2 linked regions of the Caenorhabditis elegans genome follow. The protein of the gene in region 1 purifies or fractionates together with the protein of each later gene. This does not show direct contact. Each region holds a gene or a part of one and is shown on either strand. Other genes may lie near its edges.

Region 1 (4,314 bases):
AGCTTCAGAGATTGACTCTCTTGGATTCCGTTGCAAAAAGGTATCGAACTACTTTCTAATAGCTTTTTATATTGAAATTTCAGATCAAAATGTCAGAGTCTTGGTTTGAAAAAGCTGCCCGTGCCGCAGATTTAGACTATGATGAGACGCGTCATCGAGAAATGGATGGATTGAATCTTGAAGTTGACACAATGGTCCAGAAAAGTCGCCAACTTCAAGCACAACTACGCACGGAGCTTTCCCTTCCACTTCCACGTGTTGATGGATCGGATTCGATGAAGACAAAGTACATTACTCCTGAAATTGTTGCCCGTTTGAGATCAGTTGGTGATAATGCAATTGACGTATTAAACCAGAAAATTGATGAGACAAAGGAATGGAAGAGAAAGAGCCGAAAAGCTACAAGAGAAGATGAAATGAACTCGGTAGGCTCTTTATTTCCTTAATATCCTCTGTTAGAGACAGATAAATATAGATTTTTAAAAAAGTATTTATAACTTTTTTCAGATGAAAAAATCGTTGAAATCGTCTCAAAAGAACAAGGAACGCCTCGCCGAGAAGAAAAAAAAGGAGAAAGCTGCCAAAGTGACTAAACTATCGGAAACTGATTGAAATTGTCCGATATCCCTAAATTGTTTTTGTTGACATTTAATTTTGTTTTCTGTTCTGTTATGATTTTATTTGTTTTTATTTTAATATGAAGTCGTTTGTGATTTCAAGATAAGTATGTTTATATAGAAGAAAATATAAGTCAAGGCATCAGAAAGAATCAATGTTTCTTATTCCGTTTATTCACATAGTATCCAGGGCTAACACGGGGCGGTGGACATGATTCACATGGCCATGGTTCTCCTTTTGGACCTGAAAAGTTGAGCATTATCGAAATTGTAACTTCTCTGTAACTAACCAATTGGCCCAAAAGTTCCCACAGGTCCTCTTTTTCCAATTTCTCCTTTTAATCCTTGATATCCACGTTCACCTCGTTCACCAGGTAATCCATCTTCTCCGTCTCTTCCAGTTCTTCCTTTCTCACCTGGTGGCCCACGTGGCCCTGTTTCTCCATCTTTTCCAGGTGGTCCATCAGACACATAGATATGTCCTGGTTCACCTGGTTCTCCGGCTGGTCCTATAAATTTATTAGTTTGGTGTTATTAATAACAACTTATTACTATTGTCATTATGTGAAACCGTGAGGCACACGATAACCTTCTAAGTTGGTCTCGCCACAACTTCCGAAATTTTCCGAAACTTTTGAAAAATTCGAACCTTCTACTTGAGTAAAAATTATTCAAAAATAATTAAACTTTAAAATAAAACTAGTAGAATTCTTCGGGGGACTTCAAAAAAAAGATAGTTCAGTAATTGGTATTTGTTACCTGTTAATTGGCAAGTTTCAAACAATTTTTGAAAAGCTATTCTATTACGTTCCTTAGTTTAGAACAATTTAGCACTACTCAAGATCTTTAAAGAAATCAACAAAATGAAGAAAAGTCAGTGGTTACTACTTAAGAAGCATACCTGCAACTCCAGGGAATCCCTTATCTCCTCTTTCTCCAGGTTCACCACGTATTGACGGTGGCGCTGAATCTCCTTGCTGACCAGTACGTCCTCTTTGTCCTTTTGATCCTTTTGGTCCATCTCCACCTTCACGTCCAGGTCGTCCTGTTGGGCATTCACGTATACATACCATTCGACTATCACCATCTGCTGGACGTCCAGGTTGGCCATCTCGACCTTAATTTTTGATATGAGAATTAATAATATTTCCCTTGTTTATCTCACCTGGTTCTCCGTCATATCCATCTCTTGAATTCTTTCCTGGAAATCCTTTCATTCCAGGTGGTCCAATGCAGCATGCTAAAATTATTTTGGAAATATTTTTTAATTTCGGAAACGAATTAATATTTTCCAAAAATTTTAATATGAATCCCATACAAGTGCAATACAAATCCTGACATATTTTCTTGATCAAATTATTTAACGAAGCTCAACTATTTTAATTATCTATTATACTTGCAAGGCCCATTTCAAAATACTACAAATAAAAAACTGGACTATCAAAACTTACACGCCAATTCTCTTTTCTTCCTGGTATTTTCGTGAATTTGCTCTCTAACAAAACTCACTCGTTGCCGAAGGTCACTCATTTGAATCTGAAAATATTGAAATATTGAATTAAACATTAAACTAAACAAACCGGACATTCATCATCCTCTAAGACATTCAAATGGTCCCCAAACAAGTGGATGAAAACAATTGGACAAATTACAGTAACATAGATTACTGTACTAACTGATAATGTGATTGCAACCGTAGGAGATCCTAATTGACGCCAAATATACGACATTCTGATACCTACAAATTGCGAGACAACTATATAAAAATACAGCTGAAATGTTTACTGAATCAGTAATTCTACAAATGTAAAGGCTAACTTTCATGGTCAGTGGCAGATACTTGAAATGTCAGAAATTTTTGAAATACTTCAAAATCAACGTGTAAAAAAGAGAAATGAATCTTTCTTCAATCCAAGTTGACAATTGCACTTGACACAAACTAGTCTTATAGGTTGACGAGGTTCGATAATTATGAGAAAGCACCCTGAATGAGAGAAGACGGTTTAATTGGACGAATATTGAACCACCATATACAATAGAAACCATAGACTACGAACAACTTTCGAATAGCTTCCGACGGAAACGTAATAAAATTGAGTCGATGGATCTTCACTGCATGTGTGGTTCCCTACGTAATTCCATTGACTGAGATTTTGGCAAGCAATTTCTGCTTAGTTTTGTGAACATTTGACCAATAATACCAATACCAATTAAATTTCCAATCAGAGGAATTAATCTTCAATTTTACATAGATTTTTGCACATTATATTATAGATTGAGTTCAAAACCAATAACTGTCTTTAATGCTTCTTTCAGAGAATGAGTGGAATGCGACAATAAAACTATAAAGATCTGCCAAAGAAAATTTATTCGGTTGTATAAGTTGCTAAAAAAAGCAAGTTCAAATTTCTAGGCAGTTTTCTGTTCTTGATTCTTTTTTTCGAGGATTGTCTTCGCAATATGAAAAATGAATAATATACTAACATGGTTTCCATAAAAATCACTTACCTCCATAGATTTGACATAATTCTCATCAGTCTCGCTGACGGCACTACATTGAACACAAAATGCAAAAAAAGTGTAGATTGACGAAAAGAAATCATGTTTACGAGTACATGTATGAGCTCTTCTCTTTCTCATTTCAAACCATGTTTCCATTGCCGAAAAATTTCCAGCTTCAAGTAACTGTTTGCACATAACTGATGTAGCAACAAATGAAGCACATCGACGAGTTCCAGCAATTGCATGAACCAAAACAGTTGTTTTTGCATCTGCCAATGCTACTCCATTTTCAATTGCATTTGCCTCTTCAAAAGCCCACATGTATTCCATGATAACTGTTTGTTGACGAGGAGAACGAATGGATCCAACAGCTGAAAAATTTGATATGTTTTATAAAATTGGGATAATTATAAATATTACATGTGTCGCAGCAAATTATATAAATCATTCGGCGATTGAGTTTCTTCGGAGCTTTATACGATTTCAATTCACATTGATAAACAGTGACGCCTTGTTTTTCATCGAAAATTCCGATAGTTTTCATCTGATACTTTTGAAAGCTCGTGAAAGTTTCTCCTTCTTTTGGCACAAAATAACCTCCAGCCTCTTCTGGAGAAACAAGGCAAACAACAGTTTGGACATTGTAGATCCACATCAAATGAAGATGATCACCATTTGTCGAGTCATTTGGTGCTTGACTAATCAGAAAATTTCCATATGGAGTACGAAAAGTATTCGCATGAACATAGAAATCCTCATTGTCACGGTCCAATATCTCGTCGAAGCATGCCACGTTTGTGAAACGATTTTTCTGGAAATTTATGATATGGGTCTGGATCTACATATTTTTCAGAGAGGAATTCAAAGTTTTGTTCCACTCAGAAATGTCCTAGATATTTTTTTTGGTAAGTAGGCACGTCTGCAGGCAAACGGGTAGGTAGGCAGAAATGTAGGCAAGCAGGCATGGTCACGTACAAAAGCAGACAGGGCACTATTCAGGCATGTAGGTAGACAGTCAGACAAGTTGCCTGCCCATACTCATACTCATATTGCCCATATCTACCTATTTGTCTGCCTACCTTTCTGCCTACTTACGTGCCCTGCCTGCATTCTTAATGCGTTTCAAAAGTTACGTGAGAGCAGATGTTGGAGCAGCTTCAGAAGCCATTCTTGATACGATGTAAAATTGAAAAAT
Region 2 (6,723 bases), on another chromosome or scaffold:
CTTCAATTTTGTAATCATGCTTCCCGCTACTCCTGCTTCTCAGAACGATGTGAAATGTGCTTGTGGCATTGAATTTTTAGTGAGAGTTCGAAAATCCTCTTGTGAGTTGGAAACGCATAAAGACATGCTCCCATCTGTCATTCTTTCTTTTTTTCTACTCCCCCCTTGACCCGTCACAATTTCCGTTGCACTTTCAATGTCTCTCATCATCTTCATTTTTATCGAAGCAGTCATTGACCCGAATGTTAGATTACTTGATTACTCACTTGCGCTCACGTTTTAAAATTTTGTGCTTGAAAATGTTTCTGCTCTAACTATATAATTTGTATTCAAATGTACCTTGAAAAAGCAGAATCAAAATAATTATAGGACACATGAGTCAGAATCTATTCCAAACATCAGTGCAAGATAAGCTACATTCTTGAAAGAAGAGAAAAATGTTAGTGCTCTCTTAAAAGTGCATCCGCATCATCCCTCTTATTTGGCCAGCAGCCGTCGTTAGCCAAGACACACAAAAAAGTGAAAGAACTATGTTTTACTCATTTCAATAAAACAGCCTTCTTTCTTCATCAACCCCGCCGAGTATGCACTTTCTGACTTGATCCCATCGTCATTCGCACATATGCTTTTGAGTTCAATTTTATTTTCTCTTGTTTTCATTGCTTTATTCTTTAAAATAGTGCGGTTTGCTGAAATTTGTTTGGTACTTGTGTATTATATCCCCACCATTTTAAATGAATATTTAAAAGTATTAAAAAAATATTCCTATTTTCCTATTTTTACTTTAGCACAGTAAGTAGAAATTTTGAATACGATCAATATTTCTCTTCTTGTAGCTGGAATAATTGCTGGGTAGCACACTCAAAAGTTTATGTCGTCAAACTAACTTTTCTAGTAATTTGTGAAAACTGCGCAAAGTAAAAGTATGGCTGAATTCCTAAAGAGCTGAAATGACCAGATATAAAATTAAACTTTGCAAAAAAATTTTTTATTTTTTATTTTTTTTTGTTTCAAGTTAAATGAGGTAAACCCTAGTTATGACCAATTTTTAAAATTTATATTGGATTGCATTTTTTACATTTTCTTTTTTATTTCCGTTCAACTTCCTTGTGTTTTTTCGCGGGTTGGAGCATTGAATGTTGATGTGTGCTTTTTCACCGTGCTTCACACAAAATGTAGGCGGAGATTTTAAAGTGGAAAATGGTGAAGAAGCGCGCCGTCACTATAGATATTCGTTGTGTTCTCAAATATTTCCTGAACAATGTCCCCGCACTTTAGAATTTTGCGAAGCGAAAAGTGCACATTTTATCTCAATATTATATCCAAGGTCTTAAGTAACTTTACTAGTTCTGCGTCAGCTACAGTAAGACGATACAATTTCTAATCTGCTTCTAATCTGTTTCTTGAAGCGATGTTGAGCACAGAATTCAAAAACGTCTCATTTTGTCGAAATTAGAGTATTAATCATGAACTGAAACTGAAAAACTTACATTTGTGTTTTGATACTTCTATGCCCTAAGTTCAACTTTGCAACAGCTTTTCGTAATCTTTTCTACTGAAGCTGAAAAGCTTGCATTTGTAATCCATCGTTTTACATATTAGAAATACGACAAATTGGTGCTAATAGGATAGATTCGTTGAATAGTCATTATTTTCATCGTTCAAAACCACTCTATTTCGCTATTTAAACTCAAAATCAAGTTCGTTTAAAACTGGAGCACGAGAGAAAATAATTTCTGATTTCCGTAACAATATTTGCGTAAACTAGCTTAAAGTAATATTTACTAAAACTTTCAGATGAAGATGGAATGTATGTTCCTCTCAAACCAAGAATTAGACATACCCATGGAACTCCAAAAATGCTGTATGTCCATTGACCATGCATCTGAAAGTGTTATTGAAAGACCAGTGGAACTAACGTGCCTGTCCAACGTCGTGAATGGGACGGGAATCAGTGACAAAATCGCATCAGGTCGTTTTGGTACAGTCTTCTTAGGAACTATTACGGATTCAATGTTACAGGTATGTACAAAAAAAATTTTCGGCAAACGGCAAATCGGCAAAATGTAGAAATGCAAATTTCCGGCAAATCAGCAATTTTCCAAATTGCCGATTTGCCGAATTTGCCGAAAATTGTGGTTTTGCACATTAAAAAAATTAAAACAAATTCCTCTAAAAATTTCCGGCAAATTAATAGCCGGCAAACGACAATTCGGCAATTTGCTAAAAATGAAAATTTCCGGCAAATGGGTGATCAGTACATACCTTTTTTAACTTTTATAATAAAACAATGTAAGGAAATTACGGAATTTATCATCAAAATTTCTTAAAATATTGCATATTCTGCTGCTAAACCCCTGATGGACAGCTAAAAAATACACATTTTTCACTAGTGTTTCTATACAATTATATGTATTCTTCAGTTCCTTTTAGTTCAAAATACCTATAGAGCTTTGGTTTATAATTATTTTTAACATTTTTTGCACACGCTATTAAAAGTGCAATCCAAGGTCAAAAAATTGAGCAGGTGTTACAACGTTTGACCGCTTTCAGCTGTTTTAGTGTCGTTATTTCAAAATTGAATTCAAGGTTGCAATCAAAGAGTATCACGAAACATTTCATGATGCCGTGCTAACTGCACACGATGAAGGCTCCACTCTTCAGAAAATAATTTCTATCGAGCATCCGGCTATTGTACAGACTTTCTCGGTGACTGATATTTGAAATTTTTGTACTTATTGTTTTTTTTTTCAGGTTTCTCATTTTCAAGATATAGTGTATAAAGTAATGGAGTTCCATTCTTGGACTTTACACGGTAAGGCATGTATCAAAAAGTTTCAACATTTTCGCTACTCCACCACTATAATGTACTTTTCAAAAATAGAGTTAGTGAGTAACATTGATTAGTTGCAGAAAAACGTGTGTACTTCGAAAAAATTGATCGAACGAATAGTAGGATTACTTTCTACTATTGTATCTTTTCATTCTCTAAATGTTAATCTTTTCAGACGACATTTTGGACAAAGGCAAGTACGACGAGTCCCAGACTAAGCTTGTATTGGTACAAGCCACAAGAGCTCTCGAATATTTGCATGCACAAAATCTTTGCCATGGGACGCTTCATGTAAGAAACTCGGAAAAATTAGTGATATACGCAATAGGTCAACGATTTTGCAGACAAAGAATATTTTCTTGCAAGAAAATATGGTCAAAATTTCGGATATTGAAAGCTCCCAATTTTTGAACTGGCTCCCATTCAGCCAAACACCACTGCACATTCTTCCATTTATTGCTCCAGAATTGCACAATCAGTTATCAGAAGTGACTTCTGAATGCGATTTATGGGTAAAAACTACTCTTATAGTGCTAAAAGGACCAAATATCAAAGTTACACTTTTAAAAAAACTTGGGAAGTTTTTTAACAACTGTCAAAAAGTGACAATTACTTAGATTTTGCCAGTTATATTTTTGGAAGTCAACCAAAAAAAAAGTTCTACAATATTCAACTTTATATTAGTTTAAATTGCTCGTGTAAAGACATTCTGGATTTTCTTAAAAGTTCAAAATCAGCACCTTGCCAAAACTTTGACTGGAAATTCTTAAGAAATCTAAAAAATGTTTGGAGTGTAATAAATGTACTTAAACAAAATCCCCATTTATTCAGAGTTTGGGTGTGTGCATTTTTGTTATGGCTACTGGATCTTGTCCGTTCATTTTGGAAAGCCGCAACACTATGATGGAAAGTATTCAAGCTGGTATCCTAGGTTCCCCCGTTCTTGCCAGTGACAAAATTCAATCGCTAGTGGAACAGCTGATTCATGTAAACCCATCTGAACGCATGTCACTTAAATCTTTAATTGAAGATGATTGGATGACTTCTGACCTAGTTTGGAACTATTTTGTAAGATTAAAAAAAACCATTTCAAAACAGCATTAGCTACTATAATAGTATTCCAGATTTCATGTCATGAAGATCTCATTAGAGAGTTGCCAGTAGTTGATAGATTCATTCCGGCAGAGTCCCTGGAAAAGAGCACAGTTCAGAGAGACGGCTCAGAAATCTCCATCGAAACCTTAGATGAGGGCTACAAAAGTGTAGCATCAGATCATCCAGAAGAGCCAGCTGTCTCTGGAGAGCAACAAGTCTTGACTGAACCTGTGCCAAAAAAATATCACAAAAAGTTTGCAGTGGTTTGTGCACAAATTTTTAAATGGTGTTCAAAAAAACAGAAATATTTTCCAGTTTGCAATGGAAAACGTCCGTAAGGAGTGGGACAATGACATCACTCGCATTGAGAAATGCAAACTGGTATGTTTTTTTATTTACGAATTACGATGAGAACGAAACTGATATTTTCAGAGAGACGGAAGCATGTGCTTGAGAATCGTCATTCCAGCAAAAGATGAAATTGCCTCTTCGTCAATTTTCAATCGCATAATAAAAAGCCGTTTGGGTCAGACGATCAAGCGCTTCCGATCACATCAAGATACTGTAGTTGATTCGGATTTTGGAGATTACGCACTTATGGTAGGATATAATTATTTTTGTCATCTTATGGTTTTTTTTCTTCAGAACTTCCGCAGAGAAAACACCGAGATTGAAGTTGCTCGAAACATGCCAAAGTTCACGAACAAACAGCAAGTTCAGCTCTACTATTGCAAAAAGGAAGCCGAACGTGTCTGGGAAAATCTGGCGGTGAGAGTGTTTTGTTTGGGTAGTTTTAAAATCTGTATGATTTTCAGATAAAAATTTGCATGCGATGTCGAAGAGCTGGAACTGATGCTTTGAATCACGACGAGGATAAGTGTCTTTATAAGCTGATTGCAGAAGCTGTGGAGAGTGAAGAAGTGATTTATTGTGAGTTGGAATTTAGATAATAATAGAAATTCTGATTTAAAAAAAATGTTTGAAGTTTAATGGCTCAAACAGAGTTTCAGAATTAATAGTGGGGAAAATTATTAAAAATCAAATTGCTAAAAATGGCTAAAATTGCTAAAATGACCATTTATCAGTTACTCCACCTTTAACAACATTCCGAAAAATATTTTTTTGTCGACTACCGTAATTTCAAGTTTCTAATTGTTTTCAAACACAATTCGTCTGCAGCAAAGATTTCTAATTTTAAACCAAAAATGTCGAGAGCATTGTTTAGCTATACAACGAAACGTTTCAAAATATTTTGGAAAATTGGTTGTATGTTCTAATTATATATTATAGGTTCAAACCAGTTACATTGCTTTAGATTTATTGAAAAGTGGCCAACATAGTGAGTTTCACTACCTCTTGAAAAATGTTCAAAATTTTTTAGAAAAAATTTGTTATGGTATTTGATCATTTTAGCATCATAAGAATGGGTTTCAATAATTTTCTTATTTAATGTTGCTATGTCGTTTCAGATGGCGCAGAGGATCAATTCAATCTCCGTTTCTTCTCTCTTGTCTACAGAAATGACGGTGGACGTGCATCCGCAATGACTCGCTTCCGTAGAGGTTCAATAAGAGTTCTAACCTCTGGATACCGGAGAATTGTGAAACGTTTTCGACGACAGTCAACTTCTGGATCTGGTTCTTCTGGGTTGGGTTCGGACAATTGAAAATAAAAGTTTAGACGAGATTTTTGTTTTCATAAGTTCTAATTTTGTTTCTATGTATCGCTTTGTATGTAAATGACATTTTTTGCTCTGTTAATAAGTTGAAAGCGTGCAACCTTTTCGAGTAATTAATTCAATTCAATGTTCAAAAGAAAATCGATTTCTATTATTCAATTAAAAAAAATTTCTACCCATCTCAATATATGCACATTTTTCCAATTTCTCATGATTAATTGTAGCTATTACTGCGTTGTACAACACATTCCAAAAGTAATATTTTTTCGTATCGTATGCTGCAACCTCATATCCATATATTCCATCTCTCTTTTTTCTCTCTGTGAATTGTATAAAAATAAATATTTGAAAATTACAATTTATCAATCATAATAGTAAATTTAAACTTAATACCCGAAATTGGAGAATTCAAGATAAAACATAGTGACGTTCCAATGACGTCATGAAAGTGCAAATGACCAATGTAAAAAAAGATGATGAGGGAAAAAATATTGTGCTAACAAGTAAGAAGCATACAAATGTTAAGGGGGTTTTTTAATTGCACCACATAACGGCAGAGCACCTTGAAATGGTTTTGACAAGCACACTTAAAAATAATTAAAGCACGTTTAAAAAAAAAGATTATCAAATGATCGAAGTGTTTTATCGAGATTGTGATGAATGACTAAATGAATGATATGTTTAAGTCAAGGTTTAAATCAGACAAAGGCGGGTTCCGGAGCACTTGCACAGCATGATGTGAACTTCCCTTTATCGCTTTTGATGACTCCGTCAACGTGGAAGGCCGATGAAAACTCCTAAAAATGGCATATTTATTGAAAGATAATTAGCATATAAATTGCATCCGGATATTGTCTGTCTTACTAACCTCGTTGTCATCCGACTCATCCGAATGCATACTGCCAGCCGTTATTCGTTCTCTCATTGCAGCTGTCAAAGTGTGAAATGCTTCTTCGCAGTTTATCCCTGGAAAACGACAATCAGTGTGGAAAAAATAAATCTTCAAGTTTCCGTGTTTGTTCTCACGTTCTAGAGGCGGAAAAGTGCCAGTGAGAAAATTTAAAAAAAATCACTTTCTGAGAAAACTATAGGACTTTGGCATGTTCAAATCCCTACA

The links.
Region 2: the proteins of col-53 (region 1) and K02E10.7 fractionate together in Caenorhabditis elegans (co-fractionation; one large-scale study listed by BioGRID). This does not show direct contact.

Annotation. Positions count from the first base shown.
Region 1 is NC_003279.8:5,642,770-5,647,083, reverse strand, and holds col-53 (Col_cuticle_N domain-containing protein), read right to left. Parts: upstream 2,356-4,314; 5' UTR 2,348-2,355; coding exon 2,198-2,347; intron 2,154-2,197; coding exon 2,069-2,153; intron 1,858-2,068; coding exon 1,783-1,857; intron 1,735-1,782; coding exon 1,519-1,734; intron 1,127-1,518; coding exon 908-1,126; intron 862-907; coding exon 770-861; 3' UTR 714-769; downstream 1-713. Other genes in the region: F55F8.2 (ATP-dependent RNA helicase), read left to right, coding at 1-40, 84-425, 508-612; M01A12.4 (Protein-tyrosine phosphatase catalytic domain-containing protein), read right to left, coding at 3,027-3,490, 3,540-3,774.
Region 2 is NC_003284.9:2,500,232-2,506,954, reverse strand, and holds K02E10.7 (Protein kinase domain-containing protein), read left to right. Parts: upstream 1-1,797; coding exon 1,798-2,022; intron 2,023-2,589; coding exon 2,590-2,709; intron 2,710-2,754; coding exon 2,755-2,815; intron 2,816-3,008; coding exon 3,009-3,124; intron 3,125-3,177; coding exon 3,178-3,345; intron 3,346-3,664; coding exon 3,665-3,901; intron 3,902-3,957; coding exon 3,958-4,191; intron 4,192-4,243; coding exon 4,244-4,309; intron 4,310-4,360; coding exon 4,361-4,528; intron 4,529-4,573; coding exon 4,574-4,696; intron 4,697-4,743; coding exon 4,744-4,858; intron 4,859-5,397; coding exon 5,398-5,594; 3' UTR 5,595-5,968; downstream 5,969-6,723. Other genes in the region: rabr-1 (RAB family), read right to left, coding at 6,305-6,403, 6,475-6,572.